Stegostoma tigrinum: one gene and its partners. The protein of the gene in region 1 purifies or fractionates together with the protein of each later gene. This does not show direct contact. Links are inferred from orthologs where the notes say so. Each region holds a gene or a part of one and is shown in the gene's direction. Other genes may lie near its edges. The genes, in order: ap2s1, itsn1, aak1b and ralbp1.

What was found.
Region 2: the proteins of ap2s1 (region 1) and itsn1 purify together in Homo sapiens (co-immunoprecipitation; 3 studies listed by BioGRID and IntAct, counting the BioPlex papers as one, with this or other methods). This does not show direct contact. The link is inferred for Stegostoma tigrinum from reciprocal best matches to the Homo sapiens genes AP2S1 and ITSN1.
Region 3: the proteins of ap2s1 (region 1) and aak1b purify together in Homo sapiens (affinity purification with mass spectrometry; 4 studies listed by BioGRID and IntAct, counting the BioPlex papers as one, with this or other methods). This does not show direct contact. The link is inferred for Stegostoma tigrinum from reciprocal best matches to the Homo sapiens genes AP2S1 and AAK1.
Region 4: the proteins of ap2s1 (region 1) and ralbp1 purify together in Homo sapiens (co-immunoprecipitation; 3 studies listed by BioGRID and IntAct, counting the BioPlex papers as one, with this or other methods). This does not show direct contact. The link is inferred for Stegostoma tigrinum from reciprocal best matches to the Homo sapiens genes AP2S1 and RALBP1.

The regions. Positions count from the first base shown.
Region 1 is NC_081392.1:11,809,189-11,816,626, forward strand, and holds the start of ap2s1 (AP-2 complex subunit sigma), read left to right. Parts: upstream 1-4,418; 5' UTR 4,419-4,600; coding exon 4,601-4,603; intron 4,604-7,438. UniProt on the Homo sapiens protein: Component of the adaptor protein complex 2 (AP-2). Adaptor protein complexes function in protein transport via transport vesicles in different membrane traffic pathways.
Region 2 is NC_081365.1:20,945,877-20,953,138, forward strand, and holds the start of itsn1 (intersectin-1), read left to right. Parts: upstream 1-4,252; 5' UTR 4,253-4,496; intron 4,497-4,606; exon of another isoform or gene 4,607-4,683; intron 4,684-7,262. UniProt on the Homo sapiens protein: Adapter protein that provides a link between the endocytic membrane traffic and the actin assembly machinery. Acts as a guanine nucleotide exchange factor (GEF) for CDC42, and thereby stimulates actin nucleation mediated by WASL and the ARP2/3 complex.
Region 3 is NC_081393.1:6,533,631-6,540,703, reverse strand, and holds the start of aak1b (AP2-associated protein kinase 1), read left to right. Parts: upstream 1-4,064; 5' UTR 4,065-4,429; coding exon 4,430-4,625; intron 4,626-7,073.
Region 4 is NC_081358.1:114,693,922-114,701,803, forward strand, and holds the start of ralbp1 (ralA-binding protein 1), read left to right. Parts: upstream 1-4,867; 5' UTR 4,868-4,983; intron 4,984-7,882. UniProt on the Homo sapiens protein: Multifunctional protein that functions as a downstream effector of RALA and RALB. As a GTPase-activating protein/GAP can inactivate CDC42 and RAC1 by stimulating their GTPase activity.

The DNA.
Region 1 (7,438 bases):
CTCTAATTGCCTAAAGGGCAGTTGCGAGTCAGCCACATTGCTGTGGGCCTGGACTCACATGTAGGCCTGGTAATCAGCAGGCACAATTCCAGATTTTTACTGAACTTAAACTTGACCATTGCTCTGCTGGGTCTCTGGATTACCAGTCCAGTGATAATACCACTAGGCCGTCACCTCCCCTGCATGATGGCGTGGAAATATTACATGCATCTGAAATACAGTGCTCAAAAATTCATATGGTTCAACAATACATTTAAAATGGCATCATGTTAAGTGATATTACATGGGAATGATGGAGTCCTTCAAAAAAAATTTAGTTTCAAGTATTAAACTCCAGAATAAAAAACTACTAGCTCACTTTTCAGTTCACTAGCTGGAGTTCTAACCTATAATATATGCAGATTTAATTCTGTTCTTTTACACAGTCTCCAAACTTGAACATGAACACACATTGTGAGTAGTCCACAGACAAGGACTTGCGCTGTGACATTCTACATCAATTATTTGTGAAGAGTACTGAAGATCAGGATTAAGCTGTTGATTTGAGGACTTTGGGCTCAGCAGGAGACAGATGAAATTTGAGGTAGGAGGTATAGATTAGGTGATTTAGCAGCAATGCATGGGAGGTGAGTGGGTGGTAACAATGTGGTAGTGGGAAATAGAGATGGATACATTCAATTTTTGGAAATACAAGAAAGTAGTTTTATTAATAGGATGTGCGACAGTAGCAAACTGCAGTGTTATCATCATGGCAAAGTTCAGTCACAGTCACCACAAACCTCGAAGGCAAGAAGGCGACCTGTCCACCCCTGGGAATCCATTCTTAGCAGGTGAAACAGCAGAAGAGACAACACTGATTTCTGCACCTAAACCCTCTTCCAAGTCCCTTGGTAATGCCGTATTTGTCAGGTAGCAATCCCTCCTGGCTAAAAAGGTGATAATCAAGAAATCATATAGGAGAAAATTCTGCAGGCTGTAATGCGGAGTGTCTTCATGCAACCCATCAGAAACAACTACCATTAATTCTTTGTTTTAAATTCAAATAGTGATTAAAATTCTGATCTGTGAATGATTTTTTAAAGCAATTCATTGGCCTTCATATTAATTTATTGCAGTATTTTCAAAAATTATATACACTGCTGCAAGGTTATTTGGTCTAATTGATTTTTCACATTCTAACTTCCAAGAATTTAAAAATATGAAGATCAAGATAAAATCATTACAGAAATCAACATGAGAAAATGCCAAGATTGATCTTTGAAGATTACAAATGATTTATAGTTCAGAATGGAACAGAGCCTCTTGCAATTGGAAGATGGCTCATGTCTGCAATTCCTGCTGCATAAACATTCGTCAGTGTAATTTTTCAGAGGCAGGAGGAAGAAAAAGTGAGAGAGAGAGACACATTCTAAGTTAAAAGCGACAAAAATAAAAAGGGATCCAGAGGTTAACGGCAAACAGAATAGAAAAACATCAATAAATGAAATCTAATTCATTAAATATACAGTTCCAATTCTTACAGGGCACGGTTCTACGGCTGCTAACAAGGTCATTCCAGATGCATGAAACTCGCCAGGGAACTTCTGCAGCCTATCCATTCACAGCAATCATCACAACTGAACCTTGAAGCTTTCCTCGCTCACGTCTGTGCACACCCATGTTTCATTGAAAAGCAGCAGTGAAACTACCTGAATATACCTCTGCCCCCTAGAAGGGCAGCTACTATCATGACTAAGGATGGCTTACTCACCACAAGCCACGAATCCTGGGCCTAACTGGTTACATTAAGTTTACAGCTTTCATACTGGCACCTTACACGCACAGGATTTTCCATTTTGTCATGTTAAGATCAATGGAACAGCTCAAAAATCGTGAGGGGGTTTTGATACAGTTACTTAGGTTATTGGCACTGATGGCGAATTGGTAACTGATAAGCATAAGTTGGTCAGCTCAAGAAAAATTATAATTAAATTTGGAGGGGGCTAAATTACACTCACTCCATTAGATCTTACTGGCAACACTGTCTAAAAATAATGCAGTAGATGGGTGGATTAAAGAAACCTTTGTAAAAGGACAGAAGAACTCAGTTTATAATATCACTCCAATTCTGATCTCTTAATGCCTTGTAATACAATCTGGAGAATCCCTCCACCATAGTTCACTGAATCATGAACATAAACAATTCCCCTCACCCCAGCCCATAAAAGTATACTTCGATATAATAAACCAGAAGTCACTCTTTTGGATGCATACCACAAACATGTGCTTAACGCAATGGATACCAACATGTCAAGGCATATTCCACATATATTCAAAAAGGGGGAGGAGGGTTCAGACAGAGTTTGTAGACTTGAAGTCACTGCTTAAACACAGAGTGCACCATGCTCATTAAAAGCAGAAATCACTACATCCGTGAACGTACTATGTTTTATGTCAGCACATACATGCTCTTTAACTGAAAAAAAAACAGAAAGAGAAAGAAACAAGCCCATTCACTTTTTTTTAAAAAAAGCCAAAACAATTTTTTCCTTCTATTTCAGCATCTAACCCTTCTCAACTTTTAGGAATGGAATAAATAGAATGAGAACTTAATATTCAAAATTAATCAATAATCCATTATCCGGACACAGTTATATCTTTATCACTTGTATACGTATTGAGTTTTAAGTCTTTCTTAAAACTAGATTGCCTTGAAGCTGCTCAAACATTTTTTTCTGCAAAAAGCATTTTAAATTATTCTAGGTGCTGCATGTTAGAGGTGACAGCAATATGCCCAAGCAATTAAAAACTAACACCGTAAAATGCAAACAAAAGTCTGAAACAGATACATTTTCTAAACTTTCCTTACATAATCCTACTAATTGTTAAAATTCATTCATTCAGGGAAGAGAAAGGTGTCATTCATTTTTATATGTTTTAACAATGAAAAAATGAAATTAGTTCTTCAACACGTATTGACACATGGATTACTCAACCACATCAAGTAGTCTAAAAAATTTTATTCCATTGACTGCTCTCAAAATACATGTACAAACCAAAAGACACCAGCAAAAATTCCCCCGAAATATTTCCAACGAAATAAATGCTGGGAGGCCAAAATCAGAGAGAAAGAGCAGGTTTAGAATACAAATTAAAGATCCACTCAATGGGAAGAAAAAGAGATTGTAGATGGAAACGTGAGAGATGAGAAAGAAAATAAAACATCTCCCTACCTTTGCTTTCTTTCCACAAGATGAGGCAAATAATAGACACAGGTTTGTTCCTGGGTCTATCTTAAAATTTATGGTCAGCAGACATCTTGTTTTCCTAAGGAATCACAGGACAGATTTGGAGGATAGGGAATGTATGTGGATTAAAGTAATGTGGTTTTTTTCCCCAAACCCTCTCTTTTGCTTTCTCTTTGCTCTCGTTCCTCTTGCAAATCTATGACCGGACAGAAATGGCGGATATTTCTTCCGTACTCGTTCCCTTCAACAACTTTTTCTCTTTGCTGCTGCTAGATTCCCCCCAGGAGTAGACATCGCCCATGATGCTTCTCAGGCCGCCATGGAGGCGCAGTGATTCGATGGGTCAGGTGATCTCTCCTCCTCCAAGAGACAAATATATTTTTCTTTCCTCCTCCTTCCCGATCGTCAAACAATTAGTCAAACATCAACAAAAATCCACCTCCGCACACACCATTCGATAGGCCCCGCCCGATTTTCACTCAAAATTGCCGCCTCAACTATCCCCCTCAAAATAATACTTTAAAAAACTGGCCTCACGACAATGAGTACATTTTTTCACCCCCTTCCCCCTCGCTCCTCCACCATCGTCGTTTGTTTTCCCAACCAAGCTTGATGATTTCATTTTTTTAAATCCCCGCCTACCCTCTCTAGGCTTCCATTGGGCAATCTCCAAGGAGACTCGGATTCCATTGGACATTGATCACGTCAATCAGGTTCGGCGTCCATCCAGCACGTTAGGTTGTAGGCCTCCGGCGGCTCTGAGGGTGGTGGTGGAGCTGAGGGATGTGGAAGGCGACAGCGCCGGATCGGAAGTTGGGTGTGACCGAGGGTGCCGGGAATTGTAGTCTCATCTCCCTAGCTGTATACAGCTTTTGCATTATTTAATTCACTCAGCATTACAATGAATTGTAATGCAATCGTATTCCTCGATTAGTGAGACATCTAAATGTCGATGAGTCACTGCTAGGCTTGATTAACATGGCTAGAATCAAGAGACAAACTTGAGAGTCATTTTCGTGACCTGGGACTTCGTTTGTGTTTTTATAGTAACATCTCCCGGTGAAAAATATTTCCTTAGCATTCCAAAAGGGACGCATTGTGATAGATTTGAATTGTGGTGTTATTGGGAAAGAGAGGAGGAAACGGCCGGGCGCGGATGGAAAGAACTACATTCCCCAGCGTGCCTTGGGTGAGGCTAGCGCATGTGCGGTGGTGGGCTGCGGGTTCTGACAGTCAGCGGTGACTGAAAGGGAGAAAAAAAAGTGTCCCCTCTGAAATAAAATATCATATGTCCCGGCAAAGGGAAAGAAATAAACTCCCATAAAACACAGCTTTTTATAAAAAGAAAACCACACCCAAAAAGCAGAGTCGTAATGGTAAGTAGTGATCTTTTTTTAATTTCCCCATTTCGAAATAGATTGAATGTAGGATGAGGCCTAACGTAAGCCCAGCGATGAAGGGTTTTCTGTAAATTATAAAAATAACGCAAATGAATTAACAAAAGGTGGGTAATTCTTCAAAAAGGCAAACCTTAGGATTGAAATGTTTGCTTTGGTATCTTACAGCCACAGAGTGAATACTTATCGTGAAATAGAGGCCTTGTCGCTTTTCCCTTGCTTAAAGCATCCACTGAGTGTTTTTATGTCGTAAAAGTCAAAAATGGTACAGGTATAATTGAGCTTTTGCATTTTCAAAGGAGCAGTTTTTTGAAGGTGGTAGCCATAATTGACAGGTTTCAACTATCAGGAAAAACTGAACAGGTTTGGGGCTGCTTTCTCCAGAGAAGAAAAAAAGCTTTGGACGACCTGGTAAGGTTCTTCATAAATGTGAAAGGTTTTGTCAGGGCAGATTTCGAGAAGATGGTTCTACATATTGCTCAGACCAGGTCACGTGGGCCATATGTAGATAAGGTGGTCACTGATAAATCCAACAGGAAAATGACTTGGCCCAGAGAGTGGTGAAAACGTTAAACTCACGTTTCTAAGGGTCACTGGACACAATTCAGATTTCTCTCCAGGGATGTTGCCAGACTTGCTGAGTTTTGCCAGCAGTTTCTGTTTGTGTCACTTTCATAAGGCATAGCTGAGAATAATTTAACTGAAGTTCATAAAAATGCGAGGACAAAAGGAATAGGACAATCTTTTGAGGGGGTTAGAGAAGAAAGGATTGAAGGAACCTTGGATGGAGTGTAAACCCGGGTATGGTCCTGTTAGGGTGAAAATGTTTTGATTTTACATTTGCTTTGTAAATCCGAAATGCATACCAAATGCTAGAAATGTGCATTAGGTTTTGTTTTTAGGGAACAAATTTATCTAACAGGTCCATGATAAAATTGATTTATTCTGAGTTTTTTTATTTTGGTTCTGATACTTTAGTTATGCTTCCATAAAATAAGGGAGGACATGCAAATTTGTTTCTTTCCCTCTCAATTTTATGGATCATCTTGAGAGAGCATCTGAAGAAGACCAGTTAGTGTTTTGGAACTGGACCATACCTCTAAATTTTAGGACCAAGAACTTGACTTCCTTTGGATCTGCATATGTTCAGGGTATCTCGCAAGAAATAAACTAAATTTAATGTTTCGGTAGGAAAAACTAATGATATTACGTGAAAAGTTCTAGTGTTTGCTATTTTCACAAAGAAGCAAGTAATTGAATTAACAACCAGTTAATAGATTTAGAAACAGTACAAAGATGTGTAAATTACTTTAAAGCATAGGCAAGGATACCTCAATTTAGGAGACAGATGCATAGAATTTGAAAGGTCAAAGGAATGACAGCAGCCACAGCAATTTATATTTCAAGAGAAAAGGGTGTTGATTGGATAGAAAGTGGATTCTGACAGTCAGGTGTTGCCATGAAGAAAGCAATGAAGATATGACAGGTTCCCTGATCTTACAGATAATTCAAAGGCGACACAAGCATTGAGCATATTCTTTTTGTTTGCAGAGGATGGGCCCCTGTATATATGAGAGTGTGCATTTGAGCTTCAAACTGATGAAGCATGTTGGCAACCTACATCTTCCTTGCTCTGTGACCAAATGTAGGAATTGTGTAGTTTTGCATTTCAGTAAAATATTTGATTTTCCTCTATCCCTAAGGAAAACATCCCCTCTGAGGAATTACCAGAGATCAACAAGCTACATCTGGGGAATTGTCAGACCTCTTACCTTCACAATTCCTTTGCATTCCTTGAAATGGCAAAGTAATCATGATTATAATCTTAAATTCTCTGTCAATGTGATGGGACCTAGGCAAAGGGTTTTTGTTATGTGGCTTACAGTTGATCTGTATGCATTGCGTCTTCTGTCCCATACCATATGTGCACTCAGTTGGAATATCTACATTGCTTTCAAATTATTGCCCTTGGATTTCTTCTCATTTCTGGGGCAATTCTGCATTTTCTTCCATCCAGTTACAAAAATTAAGAATAAATTGGGCTATGTCCTATTCCCAAGTTTTTTTCAAGTGGATGTGGTCAATCACTGTTTGATATATCTGGTACCTGGGATGAAGAAGTTGTCCTATAAGGAAAAATTGAGGTATGGGTGTTACTGGTTGAGCATTGCACATCACCAGTTGCCCTTTAGATGGTGGTGCGCTGCCCCATTGAACTACTGAAATCCATTTAGTGTAGATACAACCACATGCTGTTTAAGAGGCATTCGACCTTGCAACATTTTCTATAGTGTTAAATCTGCTATGGGGTTGCATTTGATAATAGATTGTAAATTTTTTCAGAATGGAGTATGAATTTTATTTGTATAGCTGAAGACATTTTGAATAAAATCATTCATTTTACCTGGATTTATTTTGAATTTACACTGGGGACATATATTTCATAAATGGAGGCCATTTTCGCAATATACTTCAGCAGCTTGGGTAACTATATTCCAGAATATTTTGGGATTGTCGTTAAAGTAATACCACTTTATCTTTTATCTCCAGATACAAGTACAAGTCTTGCTCAGTCTAATATAATTTAAGTATTCTCATTACAGGTTAGAATGGTGAGTTTTAACCTTGTTCCCAAAGACTAAGAGCGCAAAGCTGACTGTCAGTCAATAGGGAGTCATAGAATGGGAATGCTTTAGAAGTGTCCTGCTACAGTCACAGCTGATGCAGGCTGGGTCAGTTGGTGCTAATGCTAGGTTTCAAAAATGAAAAAGTTTTATTTTCTCATCTCTTATCCTGATGATTAAAAAAGCTCAC
Region 2 (7,262 bases), on another chromosome or scaffold:
TTTTATTTCCAGGTAATCTTTCATATTCTACATTCTCTCTTTAGTTCTTTTAAGTCACTTGTTGCTGGTTTTTACATTCAGGCCAATTTTCTGATTTGTCCATCTTCATGGAATTATATGCCTCTCCGTTCAACTTGATCATGTTTTTCTGTGACTACGATATTTAAATGGTTGCCACCTGATTCAAAGTTATATTAATACCCTTAGTTCCATGTTGCTTCTTCTGGATAACTGCCAAGATAAAGAACAGAGCTAGTACATTTACAGTCCAGTCACAGGACTGAGCACAGATTAATCTCATTTACAGGCCACTTTGTCAATGTACATCGACAAAGACAACAAATTTTTTTACTGCGCGTAGCAGCAATTTAAAGGGCAAATATAACATCGATATCACAAGGAAAACCATCACATTCAAAGCAGCTAGCCAACTAAGCAAGGATAGGTAAATGTTTCATACATTTGTGAACATATGAAGTAATAGCAGCAGGAGGGGTCCATTTGGTCCCTTGAATCTGCTATATTATTCGATCATGGCTTATCTAATCCTCGCCTCAAATTCACTTTCTTGCCTGTTTCCCAAAAACTTAGGTGGATATTGAAGAGAATACAGTTCATTTCTATCAAAAAACCCATCCACTTATTTCAGCTAGGGCAGCTGAGTGAGTAGCAGCTGATAACAGAATTCAGCTAACTGCCACAAAACTATTTTTAAAAGAATGACTACAAACTACTGGATTTCACCCATGTTTTGGCCAATACCTATCTCTCAAGCTACGTCTGTTCATCATTTCATTTCTGCTTCTGATCTCTCTCTCTCTCCCTCTATGCAACTTTCTCATTGCTAGAGAGTTGGAAGTTATGCCTTGATATCATGATGCACAGGCCCCAAGAATATCCTCAAATGGTAGGATAATGTTGGTGTGCCTCTGCACCATTCTCAAGCCATCGAAGCTAACTAGCCCATCTTATGGGTATTTACATTCACAAATTGGCTGCCGCAGTTTCTAACAACATCATTTCGACAGCAGAGTGGTGTAGTAGAAATGTGCTGAGTCCATAGTCCATCAAAATCATGCTCTACTAAGTGCTCCCGAGTTGTGATGGTAGCATCCAGACCTCTGTACCAGAAGGTCCTGGTTCAAATTCCACCTACGCATGGCATGTGTTCCAACATGCCCGAACAGTTGAATAAAAATATTTATTAGTACGGCACTTCTGAGATACTGGATTGATTGCTGAAGAAATACAATTTCTTCTTTCTGTTCTACTAACTTCACCAATATTCTGTTTCACCCAACTCAAAGTTGAGTAAATTTCAGAGTTTCTTTTCAGATCCTGTTGTATTCCTGCTACTTAAATCTGTAACTACCAAAATCATTTCCCGGAATCTAAATTCTCTTTAACTGTGACGGCCTTGAACACCAATGTCAAAGTCCACTCCCATTCTGACAAGTTTTATCATACTCAAAATATTAACTGTTTCTGCTTCCAGATACAGAGTCATAGAATCTTTCCAGTGTGGAAACAGGCAAATCGGCCCAACAAGTCCACACTGATCCTCTGAACAGCATCCCACCCAAACCCAGACCCAGACCCCCTACGCTGTAACCCTACATTTCCCATGGTTAATGCGCCTAACCGACATATCCATGAACACTATGGGTAATTCAGCACGGCCAATCCACTTAGCTTGCACAGAATAATACAGCATGAAAACAGGCCCTTTGTTTTAATTTGTCTGTGCGACCAAGTTTCCAAATTTAAACTAGACCCACTTGCCTGCATTTGGCCCATATCTCTCTAAACTTTTCTTATTCATGTGTGTCCCCAAATGTCTTTTAAAACATTCTAACTCTACCTGCATCTACCACTTCCTCTGGCAGTTTATTCAACATACAAACCACCAGCTGTGCAGAGAAGTTGTCCGTCAGGTCGCTTTTAAATCTTTCTCCTCTCATCTTAAAAATATGCCCCCTAGTTTTGAACTGCCTGACCCTAGGGGAAAGATCATTGCTATTCACCTTATCTAAGCCCCTCATGATTTTATAAACCTCTATCAACCTCCTACGCTTCAGGGAAAAAGTTCCCAGCCTATCGAGCCTTCCCTGTAACTCAAAGCCTCCAGTCCCAACAACATCCTGGTAAATCTTTTCTGAGCCCTCTCCACTTTAATAATATCCATCCTATTGCATGCCAACCACAAGTGTACACAGTCCTCCAAAAGTGGCCTCACCAACAGCCTCAACATGATGTCCCAACGCCTATAATCAATGGTCTGAGCAATGAAGGCAAGCTTGCTAAATGCCTTAACTATCTTGTCTGCCTATGATGCAAATTTCAAAGAATTATGTACCTGAACCCCTAGGTCAATCATGTTCTAAAACAGAACCCAGGGCCCTTGTTCATCTTACTGAAATGCAACACCTCACATTTATCCAAATTAAACTCCATTTGCCACTCCTCAGCCCATTGGCCCAATTGACGGAGATGCTTTTGTAATTTCAGATAACCTTCTTCAGTCGACTATACCACCAACTTTGGTGTCATCTCAAACTCACTAACCATGCCTCCTAAATATTCATCCAAATTATTTGTATAAATAACAAACAAAAGTGAACCCAGCACTGACCCCTGGAGGAGCACTGCTGGTCACAGGCCTCTAGTCCAAAAGTCAACCCCTCACCGCCATGCTCTGTGGCCTACCATCAAGTCAACATGCTGCCAGACCTGATATATTTCTCCAGGACTTTATTATTCCACTCTCATTCTGTTTCTCAGAAATGTACAAGGTAAACAATCTTTCATTATAACTGAGACATATAAGTTCATGAATCAACCTCACAGTCCTCTGCTAACGTATATAATGTTTCGAATGTGATGATAAGTGAACAAATTACTCTGAAGAGTCTCACCAGGACAAAATAAAACAATGTGACACCCTTATAAATCACATCATTTGGGGAAAACATGGGGATTTGCCTTCATCACTATCTGTAGAAAGTAAACAATTAATACAAGCAGTTTGAAAAATAAAAACATTTGCCTTTTTGAGGTTTTTTGTTTAGCCATGCAGAACCTACACATTAGATTGTCAGGCTAAATAACAAAACTTACATGATGCTACAACATTTATCTTGAAACTAAAGGCCAGGTACAAAAAAAAAGTCTCAAGAAACGTTGAGAATACTAATTATTGTTTCATGGGCAATTGTATACAACAAAAACGTTCTTGGAATACAACATTTTGCATTGATAATTTGAAACAAACGACATGGCGGCTGGTCGCTCAGTCGTTAGTATTGCTACTTCACAGCTCCAGGTCGAGAGTTCCATTCCACCCTCGGGCGACTGTGTTGAGTTCTCCCCCTGTCAGCGTGCGTTTCCTCCCACAGATGTGCAAATTAGGTAGATTAGCTATGCTGAATTGACCATAGTGTCCAGAGATATGTAAATTAAGCAGGCGGATTAGGCATGGGAAAGGCAGGATTACAGGGATGGGGTGGATGTTCTTTGGAGAATCGGTGTGGACTTGTTGGGCCGAATGGCCTGTCTCCACACTGCGGATATTCTACGACCAAGACAACAGTGTGGAGCTGGAGGGACAGGTCAGGTAGCATCAGAGGAGAAGGAAAGTTGACGTTTCGGATCGGGACCCTTTTTCAGAAATGACCTAAATACTTTGTGTACAAATAGAAACAGGATAGGGAAATACAATACTTACTACTATGGTCCTTACTCCATCCACTCTATTTAATCTTTTAAAACATATGCTTTAAAAATAGCACTAATAATTGCTTCAATACGGTTGGAGTAGTGAGCTTTTATAAAACCGAGAAAGGAGCAGCGGTGACAGGTGAAGTTAAATGTCTACCTTCAATTATAACTTAAGCGCCCATCACAGCCAAAGCGTCGTCACGGGCACGGAGTCAACCTAACCCGATGACACATCAACAGCAAGCACCGCCCACCTGCTCACACCCTGTTCGTTGCTTCCGGCAGGGCGACATGAACATGCGCGCTCTCTATGGTCACAACGGCTGTCACTCAAATGGGCCGCCACGCTGCGGAAAGCAACGAGTTAGGTCGAGGGGCAAGCAAGGCGGATTTTCCAGGGGGAGGAGCAGCTTCACAGGACGCTTGCCGATTGGATCACCCAGGGATGGACGGCGCCGCGTTCTTCGATAGGACGCTATTCCTGTCAGTCAACGAGTTTGCGGTGAGTCGTTTCCGTTTGGCTGCGCGGGCGCGTTGGGTAACGTACGGCTTGGGGGGGCGGGGAGAGAGAGAAAGGAGAAAGAGTGAGTGCGTTAGTTTCAGACACTAGGCAACGGGCGGAGAGACAGACGTAGACGCAAGAGAGAGAGAGGCGGCTCCTTGTCTCACCCACACCCAGTAGCCGGCAGATCGAAAGGATATCTCTACTCTTGGGGGGTGGTGAAGGCCGTGGAGCCGCCGCTGGGGAGCGACCCTCCGCCGGCGCTTTCCGAGATGAGGTAAGCTGCACGGTTTGTAGCTCCTGCAATGGCTCTCCCTACAGCCAAAGGATGACTGCCTCCTGTTATTTCAGGCACTGCTTGCTGCAGGCATGTCTCCCTTTAATACACACTGTGGTAACTCACCGCTGCTCAGCCTTGAGCAATCTGCCTTTTGAAACAGACGCTTTGCTGGCAGACCTTAAAAGTAAGAGGAAAGTCAGTTACCGTGGAGGGAGGTGCGGAGAGTTTGATGAGCTTATTTGCTGCATGTTGTAGTCGAAGTGAATTTTTTTTTCGTTAATTACCTGGCTTTTCGTTTGGACCATGCATTGATTAAGAGTAATGGGGGTGAAGATTATTTTATTCCCTTTGCCTCCCTTTCCCCTTTCTAGCTCCTCTGTTGCAGGGCGGATTGGTCACAGGGAGATGGGAATAATAAGTGTAATCTGATACAAGTGTTTTTGGATCATTACAAGAAAGGAGGGTCGTATTCGTTTTCTACCACATTACCGATCCTTGATATCAAGTGTATTATTTGCTACAGGACGTTTATTTTGTGAAATTGTGAAGAGTAGGGCTTGAAACCCCGAAGTATTGTAGATATTTCTGCCGTTTTAATGAAACATATGGAGCCACATTTAAATCAGACTACGAAAAATCCAAGCCTACTGTTTGATTTATGCTATTTGAAGATGAGGGAATAAACGAATGAAACAAGAGCATTAAAGGTTTGGATGGTTTCTAAATTCGCGGTCGGTTCGCGGCCATTCCAATACTTAAAAAAAATCTTTCATATGGTCTAAAACAGCCTGATCCTCTCTGTTAATGAAACACAATCTAAACGTTAGCAAAGCTAGCTGTTTGTTGAAATTTGGTAGTGATTGTCATTTTGAAGATGTTGTTTGTTTTCAGTGGAATCTGAAATTTTAACGTTGTATCGAATAGATTATAAATTATGAATTTTCAGCAAAATAGCCAACCACCTTGAGATTTTTGTAGAATGTAGAACAGTGGTCATTAATCATGGTGATGCAACTGACAATGTAACCTGGCAAGTCTTAGCAAATAATCAACTGTACAGTATGATTTATTCTATAGTAATATTTTGACTGAGTGGTAATGAAATTGGAAGATTTTGATGCAATGATTTCGAATAGATCTGTAATCAGATTATTTTGCATGTGATAACATTGTGTGCATGCTTATTTGCATGTAGTTATATTCAGTAAATTGCAAAAGAAAAGCTTTATCATGTTGGTAAAAAGGTTATGAAATCTAAACTTTGACATACAGTGTTCTGAGTTTTAACACAAAGATACTTGTTTCTAATAGTTCAAATAAAATTAATGTAGAGTGCACAAAACATTATTTTACAATTATGTTTTTAAGTGAGATTTTCAAGTGTTGTGTGAACCAAGTAAAGTTTCCCTAGGAATCTTGTGTTTTTTTTAAGTATTAATACTGAAAAATTCTTTCAGACCGTAAGTATAACAACAGAATTAGGCCATGTGGCCCGCTGAATCTGTTCCACCATTTGATCATGGCTGATGTGTTTCTCTTGCCCATTCTCCTGCTTTCTCCCCATACCTTTGATCCCCTTTCTGATCAAGAACCTATCTATCCCTGCCTTAAATAGACTTAAAATGACTTGGCCACCACAGCCTTCTGCAGCAATGTATTCCGCAGATTCACCAGTCTCTGTTTTGAAGAATTTCCTCCTCATCACAGTTCTAAAGGATCGTCCCTTAAGTCTGAGGCTGTGCCCTTCGGCTCCAGTTTCTCCTAATGGAAACATCATCTCAACGTTCACTCTATTCGGGTGTCTCAATATTCTGTAAGTTTCAATGAGATCCCACCTCATTTATATAAACTCCACGGTCCTCAACTGCTCTTCATATTGACAAGTTCTTCATCACGGGGATCATTTTGTAAACCAACTCTGGATCCTCTCCAAGGCCAGCATATCCAACCTTCCAAACAGGGCCCAAAGCTGTTCACTATTCCAAAAGTGGTCTGACCAGAGCCATCTGTAACCTCAGCAACACCCCTCTGCTCTTGTTTTCTCGCCGTCTTAAAATTAATACTAACATTGTGTTTGTCTTTCTAACTGCCAAGTGAACCTGCGTATTAATCTTCAGAGAATCCTGAAGTAGAATTCACACCCGTTTGTGTTTCAAATTTCTGAAGCATTTCCCCACACACAAATCCGTCTACGCCTCTATTGTTCCGACCAAATTGTGAGAGCTTGCACTTTCCCACATTGTCTTCCAGCTCTTGGCACTTACTCGCATTGATTTTGTAAACATCAGGAAGATAATCAAATCAGTTTTGGGCTGCACGGTGGCACAGGTTAACACCGCTGCCTCTCAGAGCCAGGGACCTGGGTTCAAGTACTGTCTCAGGCAACTGTCTGTGTGGAGTTTGCACATTTCTCTCTGACTGCACCGGTTTCCTTCCACAGTCCAAAGACACGCAGGTTACGTGATTGACTGTGCTGAATTGCCTTTTGTGTGCGGGGATGTGCAGGTTAGGTGGATTAGCCATGTGAAATAGGTTATAGGGGTCGGATAAAGGTGGGTCCGTGTGGATGGCCTGCTTCCACACTATAGGGATCCTATGATTTAATCCAAATCTTTGCGTATGAACTAAGTACAATTTTAAATTGCAAGTCCGAAAGCCAACTGAAAACATTTCAGTTAAATGCGAAGTTCCATCCTACTACTTGCAATGCTTAAGCACCACAATGATTTTACTAACCTTGCTTCACACATCGTTTTGTAGCCT
Region 3 (7,073 bases), on another chromosome or scaffold:
GGCAGGCAGGTTTGCCACTGCAACACAGGTGTGTTTAAACTAAGTAGTCGGTGGTGGTGCGGGGGGGGGGGGGGGGGGGGGAACAAACTGGAAATTTAAGAATGAAGTTAAAGGGAAAGTCAGAATAAGAGAAGTTAAGAAAGACAACAGAATCAACGGAGCAGAAAACTCAAGGGATCGTACAGTATGGCCAAATGAAATAGTGATTGATAGGAAGGGTAAAAATTAAAAATATTACACATGAATGCACAAAGCATAAGAAATAAGGCGGATGAGCTCGAGGCTCAGTTGGAAATTGGCAAGTGCGGTGTTGTGGGGATAACTGAGACGTGGCTTCAAGTGGACAGGGCCTGGGAAATGAATATTCAAGGCTATACGTGCTATCAAAAGGACAGACTGATGGGCAGAGGGGGTGGGGTGGCCCTATTGGTGAGGACTGATATTCAGTCCCTTGCAAGGGGGGACATAGAATTTGGAGATGTAGAGTCAGTATGGATAGAGCTGAGAAATTCTAAGGTTAGAAAGACCGTAATGGGAGTTATCTACAGGCCCCCAAACAGTAGTCAGGATGTAGGGTGCAAGTTGAATCAGGAATTGAAATTGGCCTGTCACAAAGGTATCACTACAGTTGTTATGGGAGATTTCAACATGCGGGTAGATTGGGAGAGTCAGGATGGTACTGGACCACAAGAAAGGGAGTTTGTGGAGTGCCTCCGAGATGGATTCTTAGAACAGCTTGTACTGGAGCCTACCAGGGAGAAGGCAATTCTGGATCTGGCGTTGTGCAATGAACCGGATTTGATCAGGGACCTCGAAGTAAAGGAACCAGTAGGAGGTAGTGACCATAATATGATGCGTTTTAATCTGCAGTTTGAGGGGGAGAATCGGAAGTGTCAGTATTTCAGTTAAATAAAGGGAACTATGGGGCTATGAGGGAGGAGCTGGCCAAAGTTCAATGGTACAATACCCTAGCAGGGATGGCAGTGGAACAACAATGGCAGGTATTTCTGGATACAATGCAGAAGGTGCAGGATCAGTTCATTCCAAAGAGGAAGCAAGATCCTAAGGGGAGGTGGGGCGGCTGTGGCTGATGAGGGAAGTTAAGGACCATATAAAGATAAAAGTGAAGTATAACATAGCAAAGATGAGCGGGAAGCTGGAGGACTGGGAAGCTTTTAAAGAGCAACAGAAGATAACTAAAAAGGCAATACGCAGAGAAAAAAATGAGGTACGAAGGAAAACTGGCCAAAAACATAAAGGAGGATAGTAAAAGCCTTTTTAGGTATGTGAAAAGAAAAAAAATGGTTAAGACTAAAATTGGGCCTTTGAAGTCAGAAACGGGTGAATTTATTATGGGGAACAAGGAAATGGCAGAAGAATTGAATAGGTACTTTGGATCCGTCTTCACTAGGCAAGACGCAAGCAATCTCCTAGATGTAATAATGGCTGAAGGACCTAGGGTAATGGATGAGCCGAAGGGAATTTATATTAGGCAGGAAATGGTGTTGGACAGACTGTTAGGTCTGAAGGCTCATAAGTCCCTGGGACCTAATGGTCTGCATCCCAGGGTATTTAAGGAGGTGGCTCTAGAAATCGTGGACGCATTGGTAATTATTTTCCAATGTTCTATAGACTCAGTATCAGTTCCTGCGGATTGGAGGGTGGCAAATTGAAAGGAGGGAGAGAGAAAAGAGGAAATTATAGACTGGTTAGCCTGACGTCAGTGGTGGAAAAGATGCTGGAGTCAAATACAAAAGATGAAATTACAACTGATTTGGATAGCAGTAACAGGATAGGTCAGAGATGGATTTACGAAGGGTAAATTGTGCTTGACTAATCTTCTGGAATTTTTTGAGGATGTATCTATGAAGATGGACAAGGGAGAACCAGTGGATGTAGTGTACCTGGACTTTCAGAAAGCCTTTGGTAAAGTCCCACATAGGATATTGGTGAGCAAGATTAGGGCACATTGTATTTGGAGCAAAATACTGACTTGGATTGAAAATTGGCTGGCTGACAGAAGCAAAGAGTAGCGATAAATGGGTTCCTTTCGGAATGGCAGGCAGTGACCAATGGCGTTCCATGGGGTTCGGTGATGGGACCGCTGCTGTTAACGATATACATTAATGATATAGATGAAGGCATTAAAAGTAATATTAGCAAATTTGCTGAAGACACAAAGCTGGGTGGCAGTGAGGAGGATGTTATGAGAATACAGGGTGACTTGGACAGGCTAGGTGAGTGGACGGATGCATGGCAGATGCAGTTTAATGTGGATAAATGTGTGGTTATACACTTTGGTGGCAAGAACAGGAAGGCAGATTACTATCTACATGGAGTCAAGTTAGGTAAAGGAGAAGTACAATGAGATCTAGGTGTTCTTTACATCAGTCAATGAAAGCAAGCATGCAGGTACAGCAGGAAGTGAAGAAAGCTAATGGCATGCTGGCCTTCATAACAAGAGGAATTGTGTATAGGAACAAAGAGGTCCTTCTGCAGCTGTACAGGGCCCTGATGAGACTGCACCTGGAGTACTGTGTGCAGTTGAGGAAGGACATTCTTGCTATTGAGGGAGTGCAGCGTGGGTTCACAAGGTCAATTCCCGGAATGACGGGACTATCATATGTTGAAAGATCGGAGCGACTGGGCTTGTATACACTTGAGTTTAGAAGGATGAGAGGGGATCTGATTGAAACGTATAAGATTATTAAGGGATTGGACACTCTGGAGGCTGGAAGCATGTTTCCGCTGATGGGCGAGTCCAGAACCAGAGGACACAGTTTAAAAATAAGGGGTAGGCCATTTAGAACAGAGTTGAGGAACAACTTCTTCACCCAGAGAGAGTGGTGGATATATGGAATGCTCTGCCCCAGAAGGCAGTGGAGGCCAACTCTCCGGATACTTTCAAGAAAGAGATGGATAGAGCTGTTAAAGATAGTGGAATCAAGGGTTATGGGGATAAGGCAGGAACAGGATACTGATTGTGGATGATCAGCCATGATTATAATGAATGGTGGTGCTGGCTCTAAGGGCCGAATGGCCTACTCCAGCACCTATTGTCTGTAAGGCACCCGTGCTTTTTTTTCATCTATTCATCACGAGTAAATCATTTCTCCCTGTTAACTTACATGCAAAGCCCATTTTGTTTTTAGTGATATCCAAAAGTGTCTTTGCTCTTTAACACCATTGTGCAGGTTGACTCCCCGAACCGGTTTTGTTTTGTTTTGTTTTAAACCAATTAACCACCCAATGTCAACTTTTCCCCCAATGACTTTACATCCAAAGCACAGATGCATATTTTTAACTTATTTTTTCATCATTTCAGAAGTACTCTTTAAAATGAAAGGGTTTGGTCGCCCTCGCTAAATCACCCGTGTAATTTTTATCATCGATGAACCACTCGTTGGGTTTTCCAACTGAGTAATTTACAGAGCAAAGCCGTATGTAGAGAGTTGAAGATAACAAAATGTGAGGCTGGATGAACACAGCAGGCCCAGTAGCATCTCAGGAGCACAAAAGCTGACGTTTCGGGCCTGGACCCTTCATCAGAGTTGAATGTGTATTTAGAATATCCAAGTTTTTTTTTCTACGGTGATAATTTTAACAATTCCCAAATCTGACCTGCTGCCCACTCGCTGAGGAGAAAACCGTCGAGCCCGGCAACTGACAACGGGCAACGAATGCCGGGAATTGGAGCCCCGCCCGAGGCCGGAAGTCATGCGTGGCCGCAAAGTGCTCTGGGAACTGTAGTACAGTCGCCAGCCTTTGGCTCATCCAACCTTGACTTTATAAACTACAATCTCCGTCAGGCCTCTTCATAACATTCCGCACCACCGTCAAATCCCACACGCATGCGTACAAACTCCTGAAAAATAAACAGTTAAAAGGATTCCGCCGATATTTTCTTACCTTCCCCCCCGCCCCCTTACAACGAACGAGATTTTGATTTGTTTCTTCTAACATTTAACGACGTCTTTTCCGTTCGGCCGGGACTCCGGGTCCGTTCCGAGGGGCGGGGGGAGGAGAAAGAAGGAGGAGATCGAACCAATCAGCTGCGCATCCGGGTCACGGCGCGTTGTGTCTCCCTTCTTTGGGTCCGGCTTTCATGTCGGCGTTAACGACAAGAAAAAAAAGGGAGCCGGTTGTTTTTTCTGGTCCGCCCCGTTATTCCCTCCCCGTCTCTTCACTTTACCACCCCCACCCCCTCCAGCCCAGTTACCGGGCCGGCTCGGCGGTGGAAGCAAGGCCCGGTTTTTAAACCCTCGGTCGCTCGATCGACTATCATTTTCGTTGCCGTTATTACCGTGACACCACGTACATTTAAAAAATATATATATCGAGATTGTTCTATTTTGCCCGGCCGCGCGGGTCGGTGGCGGGGCGGACACAGACAGAGACAGAGACAGAGACAGAGAGTGATCGCCGAGTGATGAAGAAATTCTTCGACTCCCGGCGGGAGGCGGCGGGCTCGGGTTCGGGAGGCGGCGGCGGCGGCGGTGGAGGTGGAGGAGGAGGAGGCGGCAGCAGCGGCGGGGGCGGCGGCTTATGCCCCGGCAGCGGCTTCATCGGCCGGGTGTTCAGTGTGGGCCGGCAGCAGGTCACTGTGGAGGAGGTGGTGGCTGAAGGTGAGGAGCGGCCATGGACCGTGGGGGATGGAGGCAGGGAGCCGTGGCGTTGACAAGTGTTGAGGGATGGCTCTGCCCCTTCAGCACCGGTGATCCAGCATCCCCAATGATACTAAGCCCGCCACCCCAATATTACTGATACTGAAAATCTGCGACTCTAGTTACAGGTCCAGCATTCCTAATGTTACTGATCCTGCCATTTCAGCATCAGTGATCCAGCATTCCCAGTGTTACTGATCCTGCCATTTCAGCATCAGTGATCCAGCATTTCCAGTGTTACTGATCCTGCCATTTCAGCATCAGTGATCCAGCATTTCCAGTGTTACTGATCCTGCCATTTCAGCATCAGTGATCCAGCATTCCCAGTGTTACTGATCCTGCCATTTCAGCATCAGTGATCCAGCATTTCCAGTGTTACTGATCCTGCCATTTCAGCATCAGTGATCCAGCATTCCCAGTGTTACTGATCCTGCCATTTCAGCATCAGTGATCCAGCATTTCCAGTGTTACTGATCCTGCCATTTCAGCATCAGTGATCCAGCATTCCTAATGTTACTGATCCTGCCATTTCAGCATCAGTGATCCAGCATTCCCAGTGTTACTGATCCTGCCATTTCAGCATCAGTGATCCAGCATTTCCAGTGTTACTGATCCTGCCATTTCAGCATCAGTGATCCAGCATTCCCAATGTTACTGATCCTGCCATTTCAGCATCAGTGATCCAGCATTCCCAGTGTTACTGATCCTGCCATTTCAGCATCAGTGATCCAGCATTCCCAGTGTTACTGATCCTGCCATTTCAGCATCAGTGATCCAGCATTCCCAATGCTACTGATCCTGCCATTTCAGCATCAGTGATCCAGCATTCCCAGTGTTACTGATCCTGCCATTTCAGCATCAGTGATCCAGCATTCCCAATGCTACTGATCCTGCCATTTCAGCATCAGTGATCCAGCATTCCCAGCCTTACTGATCCTGCCATTTCAAAATTACTGATCCTGCCATTCCACTGTTGCCGATTCAGCAATTTTGGCATCGATTATCCAGCGATCCCAATATTTCGGATCCTGCCATTTCAACATCCGGTATTCCCAGTGCTACTGATCCAGCAATTTCCAACATTATAGATCCTGCCATTTCAACACCCAGCATTCCTAGTGTTAGTGATCCTGCAGTCTGACTGTTGCTGACCCAGAACCCCAACATTGTGGATCCTGCCATTTCAACATCAGTGATCCAGCATTCCCACTGTTAATGATCCTGCAATCCCACATTTGCTGATCCAGCAAATTTAGCATCAACTATCCCTCAAGTTGAAACTAGTCATCCTACATTTATAACATTAATTATCTGATATTCACATTATTTCACATCCAGCTATCCTACTTTAATGATCCAGCAATATCAAGATTACAAATCAGCAGCAATATCAATATTTCTGACCTTGCAATCCCACTATTACAGATCCTGGAATTTCAACATTTTTGCTTTTTGAGATCCCACCATACCACAGTTACTGTTCCAGTAATCCTACCTACTATTACTGATTTTACAATCCCACTATAGCTGATCCAGCAATCACACTGTTGTTGATGCTGTAATCCTACGATTACTGATCCTGCAATCCCAATACTTCTAATCTTACGTTCTAAGTATTACTACTGATCCTGCATTTACATTAGTAGTGATCTAGCAATCCTACTTTTATATATGGGCTATAATTTCAACGTTATCAATACTGATTCAGCAGTTCCAAAATTAATCATGTGCCCGTCCCAATTCTGTGATTTCAGTATAATGTATCTTGCATTTTCAAGACTGATCCAGCACTCTCTATTATTGATCCTGCAATTTTAAATATTATGATCCAGCAGTTCTGATGTTACTGGTCTTGTAATTTCAACAAAACAGATCCTGCAATTTCATCAATACTGAAACAGAAATTTCAAAATTAATGATGTGCAAATCCCAATACTGCTATCTCAATATCACGTGTTCTGCATTCTCTATAATAATCAAACACTCCCAATATTACTGATTTTGCATTTTTAAGTGTGATGACCCAGCAATGCCAATTTCCTGCAATTCTATTATCACTGATCCTATATTTCCAAAATTGCTGATTGTACATTCCCAATATTACTGATCTTGAAGTCCCAGTTCTGAGTTTGGATTCCCAACATTACTGATTCTGCAATCCCAAAACCATGTTTTAAATCTCAGTTTGACCGATGCCTCAATTCCAGTAGCAGTGATCCAGAAATCTCAGTACCCATCCAGCAATTCCATTGTTACTGATCCTATAACTCAATGTTATTGATCCAGCAATCCTACTATTATTAACACAGCTATCTGAAGATTACAGACCCAATAATCCCAATGTACTGGATATCTCATAAATGGTCCCAAAATTGCTTCATTAATTAATCTTATTATCAAGACTAAAGT
Region 4 (7,882 bases), on another chromosome or scaffold:
CTTGACTTAAGAATGCGGTGCCAATTTAAGACTGAGATGAGGAGGAATTCCTTCTCTCAGAAGGTTGAGAGTCTTTGGAATTCCTTGCTACAGCAAGCTGTGGGGGCAGACTCCTTGTGTATAGTTAAAGCTGAGGCAGATAGATTCTTGATCAGTAGGAGAATCAAGGGTTAAAAGGGAAAGGCATGAAAATGAACGTGAGGAATGTTGGATCAGCCATGATCCTACTGAATGGAGGAGCAAGCTTGAGGGGCTGAGTGTTCTACTTCTTATGGTCTTATAGAGTTTTTACTGTTTCCTTTTGTATGTCATTTGCACTGAGGATAATTGGATCATTCCAGCTGAGATCAGCTGCTGGGTTGTGTGGTAAAAAATTGGTGCTTTTATTGACTAGATCTGGAGATGATAGTTTTTTAAAACAAAGGCTTCTTGTTCTATTTTGACACAAATACTTATTTCAATGGGCGCTCTGATTCTTCTGTGAAATTATCCAGTCCCTCAGTAATTTTTTGACAAAGCATATTTTCCTCATACTACCCTTCCTTGGCATTGGGTATGGTCATTGCAGTGGGAAGTAAGGAGGTGAATATTTTGATCTTTCCTTCCATGATACACTGCAGCAGAATGTGCAGTTTACTGTTTCCACATTGCAGTCCCTTTCCACACTGCTGATTCCTTCCATGAAATTTAAATCGTTTCCTACCCATTTTAAAGATTCCACTGCTGTGGGTGTAAATGTTTTCCCCAGTGACTTGCTAGCTGACGCCCAAGAAGAGATGAAACTCAGTTACAAATCAGGAAACCATTTCTTATCGAATTTCTTTTCATTTTCTTCATTCTCTCGATGACCAAACACTTTGTTCATGACTGTGAAAGGACATGAAATGTGTTGAAATTAGATGCAGTTTCTTCTTTCGCTTTGAAGCATTAAGATGGCCATGATTAGAGTCTTTCCTCTGATTATCTGAAGTGAATTTCATCATGATTTGGACAGATTACAGAGATGTAGCTGCAGGGAATTCTCTTTTTTTGTTTATTTATTTTGTGGGATGTGGGCATCGCTGACTGGCTAGCATTTCTTACCCATCCCTAGGTGCCCCTTAAGAAGGTGGTGGTGAGCTGTCTTCTTGAAACACTGCAGTCCACCTGCTGTTGGTTGATCACAATGCTATTAGGGAGGGAATTCCAGGATTTTGACCCAACAACGGTGAAGCAACGGCGATATATTTCCAAATCAAGGTGCTGAGTGGCTTGGAGGGGAACTTGGCAGTGTTCCAATATGTCTGCTGCCCTTGTCCTTCTAGATGGAAGTGGTCATGTGTTTGGAAAGTGCTGTCAAAGGATCTTTGATAAATGTGTAGTGTTTCTTGCAGATTGTACACACTGCTGCTACTGAGCATTGGTGGAGGAGGGAGTGAATGCTTGTGTTTCACATCCAAGTGGTCTGCTTTGTCCAGGATGCTGTCAAACTTCTTGAGTGTTCTGGAGCTGCACTCATCCAGGAAAGCGTGGAGTATTCCATCACAGTCCTGACTCGTGCCTTGTAGATGGTGGGCAGGCTTTGGGGAGTTAGGAGGTGAGTTACTCACTGCAGTATTCCTAGCCTCTGACCTGCTCTTGTAGCCACTGTATTTATGTGATGAGTCCAGCTGAGTTTCTGGGCAATGGTAATGCCCTGGATGTTGACAGTGGAGGTTTCAGTGATGGCAAAACCATTCAATGCCAAGGGGCGATGGTTAGATTGTCTCTTATTGGTAATTGTCATAGCCTGGCATTTTTGTGGCACAAATATTACTTGCCACTTGTCAGCCCAAACCTGGATCTGGTCCGGATCTTGTTGCATTTGAACATGGACCGCTTCAGTGTCTGAGGAGTTGCGAATGGTGCTGAACATTGTGCAATCATCGGTGAACATCCCCACATTGGACCTTACGCTGTAGGGAAGGCCATTGATGAAGCAGCTGAAGATGGTCTGGCCTAGGACACTACCCTGAGGAACTCCTGCAGAGATGTCCTGGAGCTGAGATGACTGACCCCCAACAACCATGACCATCTTCCTATGTGTAATGTATGACTCTAACTGTCCCCCGGTACTCACTGACTCCAGTTTTGCTAGGGCTCCTCGATGCCACACTCAGTCGAATGAAGCCTTGATGTCAACGGCTGACACTCCTATGTCACCTCTGGAAGTCCGCTCTTTTGCTCATGTTTGAACCAAAGCTGTAATGAGGTCAAAATGCGAGTGGTCCTGGTAGAATCCAAACTGGGCGTCACTGAGCAGGTTATTGCTGAGCAGGTGCTGCTTGATTGCACTGTTGATGACACATTCCATCACTTTACTGATGATTGACAATAGACTGCTGGGGCAGGAATTGACTGGGTTGGATTTGTCCTGCTTTACACGTACAAGACATACCTGGACAATTATTTACATTGCCGGGTAGATGCCAGTGTTGTAACTGTACTGGAACAGCTTGGCTAGGGGTGCAACAAGTTCTGAAGGACAAGTCTTCAGTACCATTGCTGGAATGTTGTAAGGGTCTGTAGTGTCTAGTATCCAGTGCCTCCAACTGTTTCTTGATATCATGTGGAGTGATTCCAATTGACTGAAGACTGGTATCTGTAATGCTGGGGATGACAGGACAAGGCTGAGAAAAATCATCTACTTAGCACATTTGACTAAAGACTACTCTGAAAGCTTCAGCTGTATCTTTGGCACTGATGGGATTGGCTCTTCCATCATTGAAGATGGGGATATTTGGAGAGCCTCCTCCTCTAGTGAGTTGTTTAATTGTCTACCACCATTCACGACTGGATGTAGCAGGACTGCAGAGCTTAGATCTGATCCATTAGTCGTGGGATCGCTTAGCTCTGTCTACCACATATTGTTTATGCTGTTTGGCATGCATGCAGTCCTGTTTGGTGGTTTCACCAGATTGACACATCATGTTCAGGTATGCCTGGTATGCCCTCCAGCACTCTTCATTGAACCAGGGTTGATCACCTTGCTTGATGGTAATGGTTATGTGGGGGATATGCTGGGCCATGAGGTTACAGATTGTTCTGGAGTAAAATTCTGCTGCTGTTGACGGCCCACAGTGCCTCTATTCTTGAGTTGCTAGATCTGTTTGAAGTCTGTCCCATTTAGCAGTGAAAGTTCCACACAACAGAGAGGTTACTCTCAATTTGAAGGCTGGACTTCATCTCCACAAGTGGTTACTCTTACCGATACTGTTATGGAAAAATGTATCTGAAGCTGGCAGATTGGTAAGGATGAGGTCAAGTGCATTTGTCCTTCTTGTTAGTTTTCTCACCACCTGCTGCAGAGCCAGTCTAGCAGCTATGTCCTTTAGGACCCAGCCAGCAGTGTTGCTGCTACTGAGTCAATCTTGGTGGTAGACATTGAAATCCCCCACCCAGAGTATATCTTGTGCCCTTGCCATCCTCTAAGTGTTGTTCAACATGAAGGAGTACCAATTCAATCAGCTGAGGGAGGACAGTAGGTGGTAATCAGTATGAGGTTTCCTTGCCTGTATTTAACTTGAAGCCATGTGACTTCATGGGATCTAGAGTAAAACTCCCTCCCAACTGTATACCACTGCGCTGGGTCTGTCCTGCCAGTAAGACACGACATATCCAGGGATGGTGATATCTGGTACATTATAAGGTATTATTCTGTGAGTATGACTATGTCAAGCTGTTACTTAACTAGTCTGTGAGACAACTCTACCAATTTTGGCACCAATCCCCAGATGTTAGTGAGGAGGACTTTGCAGGGTCGACATGGCTGTTTCTGCTGTTGTCTTTTCTGTAACCTAGGTCGATGCCAGGTGATCCATCTGGTTTCATTTCTTTGAGACTTTGGAGTGATTGGTACAACTGAATGGCTTACCAGGATATTTCAAAGGGTAACTGAAAGCCAACCACATTGCTGTGGGTCTGAAGTCATATGTAGGCCTGATCAGGTGAGGATGGCAGATTTCCTTCCCTGAAAGGAAAGGAAACGTTCACACCTAGTGAACCAGGTGTGCTTTTTTGACAGTTGACAATGATTTTTAATCAGTAGATTCTTAACTCCAGGTTTTTTTAAAAATTGAATTTAAATTCCACTCTCTGTCATGGTTTCAAAGTGGGTCCACAAAACATTATCCGGGTCTCTGGATTTATTATCTAGCAATAATACCACTAAGCCATCACCTTCGCTTGGATAGGAACTGAACGAGGTGCAACACACAAACTGCTTGCCCTTCCTCTCCTTTTCCCTTCCTCTCCCCTCCCTCTGATGAAGGGTCTAGGCCCGAAACATCAGCTTTCCTGCTCCTCTGATGCTGCTTGGCCTGCTGTGTTCATCCAGCTCCACACCTTGTTCTCTCTAAAACTGCTTGCTTGGACGTTTTGATACATCGAAATGATAACTGTGGGAGGCTGAACACCTCTCTCCCACGCGTTCTGAGGAAAGGTCACCGGACCCGAAACGTTAACTCTGATTTTCTCCTCAAGATGCTGTTAGACCTGCTGAGCTTTTCCAGCAAATTCTGGTTTTTTTTCGTCCCAGGATCCAGTCGAGAAAGGTCACGTGACCGAAGGCTGCAAGACGCTTCGATCTCTGCGCCTGCGCAGCGACGCCCGAGCCGGAGTCCGCACACTGACGCCTGCGCACAGTGGCCCAGCCGGAGCCCGCACGATGACGCCTGCGCAGCGACGCCCGAGCCGGAGCTCGCACGCTGGCGCCTGCGCACAGTGGCCCAGCCGGAGCCCGCACACTGACGCCTGCGCAGCGACGCCCGAGCCGGAGCTCGCACGCTGGCGCTTGCGCAGCGACGCCCGAGCCGGAACTCGCACGCTGGCGCCTGCGCAGCGACGCCGAGCCCTGTGGGCCCCTCCTCTCCCGTCCAGCAGCTGCAGGGCCGCGGCCGGTGGCGGCTTGGTATGTCGCCAAGGATCAGAGCTGCGATTCCTGGATCGGGGCTGCTCTAAGATGAGGTAAAGGTGCAGGATTTATCCTTCATGGAGGCCGGTATTTTTTTCAAATATTGAAGTCCAGAGGTGATGTGAACGGAAGGAGCGAAGACCGTAGATTAGGCCTCGCTGGCATCACCGGCCTTGATTTGGAAAGAAGGCCGTGGCCGGGAGGGAGCAGAAGACCTTGTTGATATAGGATGACTTACCCCGCGGCGATCTTACCCGTACTCCCTTCCCCCAACCCTAGGAGAGGGGCATCCCGATCCCATACAGTTCCCCGGAGCGCTAGCGATACTACTCTGTGGTCCGGGGCGCATTTGTTCCCCTCCCTAGCACCGTGTTATTAATTTCCAGATTAAAACCCCTTCCTATAGAGTCCTCCACCTTATAGCACTCACTATGGCTATCAGCTGCAATCTGGATCCTTTTCTTTACATTTGATGTAACCTTTCCTCCTTCTATCTTCCACCCTAGATACTAAACCAGACTGTTTTAAAGTGGACGGGGGAGAGAAGAGTTTAAATGCACGGTTTTTTTTAACAAATAACCGAACAGAATCCTTGCTATTTACTTCATTTGCACACTGCTGCCGGCTGTTTCACTCGTCTATTTACTTCATAAGTAAAAAGCCAGTTACTCGAAACAGTGTTTTGCAGTTGTGTGTGATGCATGGGGCTGATTTGGGATTCTTGTGATCTGTTTTTCACGCTGCAAATGTAGCTGAAAAATATCTCGTCTTTCCACAGCAGTAAAGAATGAATGACTGACTTGGGGAGGAATGCATTGTTGGTAGAAAAAGAGCCTATTTGACAGTTTCACCGAATATGTAGTGAATTTACTGAAATGTCGCTTCTGACTATTACTGCTGCAGTTCGGTATTGTCAAGTTGGAGTTTGGGGTTAGGATCTTGCAGTCTGTTGAGAGAGTGCCTTGAAATTTATCGTGTTTGGGATCTGAGATGGTATTAGTGCAGTTACTGTTTTGTTGTGTCTCATTAATTGCTAAAAATGAAATGAGTGGCTAAAACAATGGCAGAGTGAGCTCAATCCTAACTAGTTTCACTTAAGATGAGCCTCGACCAGTCTCTGAATGATTTTTGAATTATGTTTTGCTAATGTCCTCAGCACTTCAGGATTTGTTACTTTTTCTATTCAACTAATCTTTTCCAATCACCTTGATTTTTAATGATATATGAAATATGCTTTAGACAAAAATTGTTCTTGTGTGTGATGTTATGATGTGTGTATCAGGCACTATTTTGGAATCTGCTGTGCTAAAGCACTTTAATATTATCACAAGCTGCTACCAGTTGGTTCCTCTGAAGAGTTTGATTCACTTGAATGTTAAGTCTGCTTTGTCACATCGATACTGTCAGACCTGCTGAGTTTCAGTTTTTGTACCATAGATTCCTAACCTGACTGATTTCTGAAACAAACAGAAAATGTCAGAGAAACTCAGCAGGTCTGACAGCATTTGTTGAGAGAGAAACAGAGCTACCATTTTGAACTGGTATGCCATCCGTTATGGCTAATTTTTGATCTTGATTGGTAGAGTGAGCTACATCCCTTTACTCTCTGGTCTGCCCTTTCTAAAACCACCACCTCATTTCTATGCTTCCCCACTGTTAGGTCTTCCAAAACCAAGCCAATTTATAAGAGTACACAGTGATACTCAGCCATGTAAACCTCTCTCCATTGTCTGTAAATTGTCATTGCTTATCTAAGATCCAATATTGGATGAGCAGGAATATTTTTCAATTACTTGGCGAGAAGATTTAAGTCCAGGAGACGGATGTACTTGTGGCCCTAACTGTTCACAATATGTATCATTGATCTGGAGATGTGGACCAAATGTGATATTTCTAAATTTTCAGAGGATACAAAGTTACGTGGGAATATATGTTATGAGGAAGATGTAAAACAGCTTCAGGAGGACTTGCACAGTGAATGGTCAAGAACATGGCAAATGAAAGATAATGTGGAAAAATATGAAGTTATCCAGTTTGGTAGGGAAACCAGCTGTGCAGAATTTAAAAGGTAAGTATTTGGAAAGTGTGGATGTAGAAAGGCTCACCAGATTTGTTCCCAGGATTGTGGAACTGTCCTGTGAAGGGAAATTGAGAAACAGCCTGTATTCTCTAATTTCAAAAAGGGAGATTTGAAATTTGAAATTTGTAACATAGCTAAAGGGATAAACAGTGTCAGTGCACTAAGATGTTTCCCTGGCTGGAGAATCCAGAGTCAGATGGCAGAATTTAAAAAAAAAAGGGGATGCCACTTAGATCCAAGATGAAATTTTTTTAAACTCAATGTTGTTGAATTACAGCAGTACATACTGTTGCCATTGTGTGTCAGTGATGAAAGGATTGAGTATTGAAGATGTTGAATCTGGTGCCATTTGAACAGAATGCTGTCTGAGAATCAAGGATTCTAACTCTTGCTTTCAAATCTATCCATAGCTTGGTCTGTCTTCCTATCTAATCCTATCTAATCTTTCTGTCCTAAAACCTAACTGTACTTTGTTTTAATTAAATCACTTGAACATTGGTGGCTGGGCTTCATCTCCCTAGATTTTAAGTTCTGGAATTCCCATTCCAAACTTGTTTGGCTCTCTACCTTATTTTCTTTTTAAACCTGTGTGTTTGACCAAGCCTTTGGCTATTTGCCTTAATAGCTCCCTGCATGGCTTAAGTGTCACAGTTTGTTTTAGAATGTCTATTGGATGCATGTTGAGATGTTTTATTCAGTGAAAGATGCTATGTAAATTCACTTTAACAAAAAGTTCCTGGAATGGGGCATTTTTGGATAGGTCAGCATTTATTGCCTAGGAACTGACTGGCTTGCTGGACCAATTTAGAGGGTAGTTAAGAGTCAATCATATTGCTGTGGGTCTCGAGTCATACGTTGGTTAGATTAGGAAC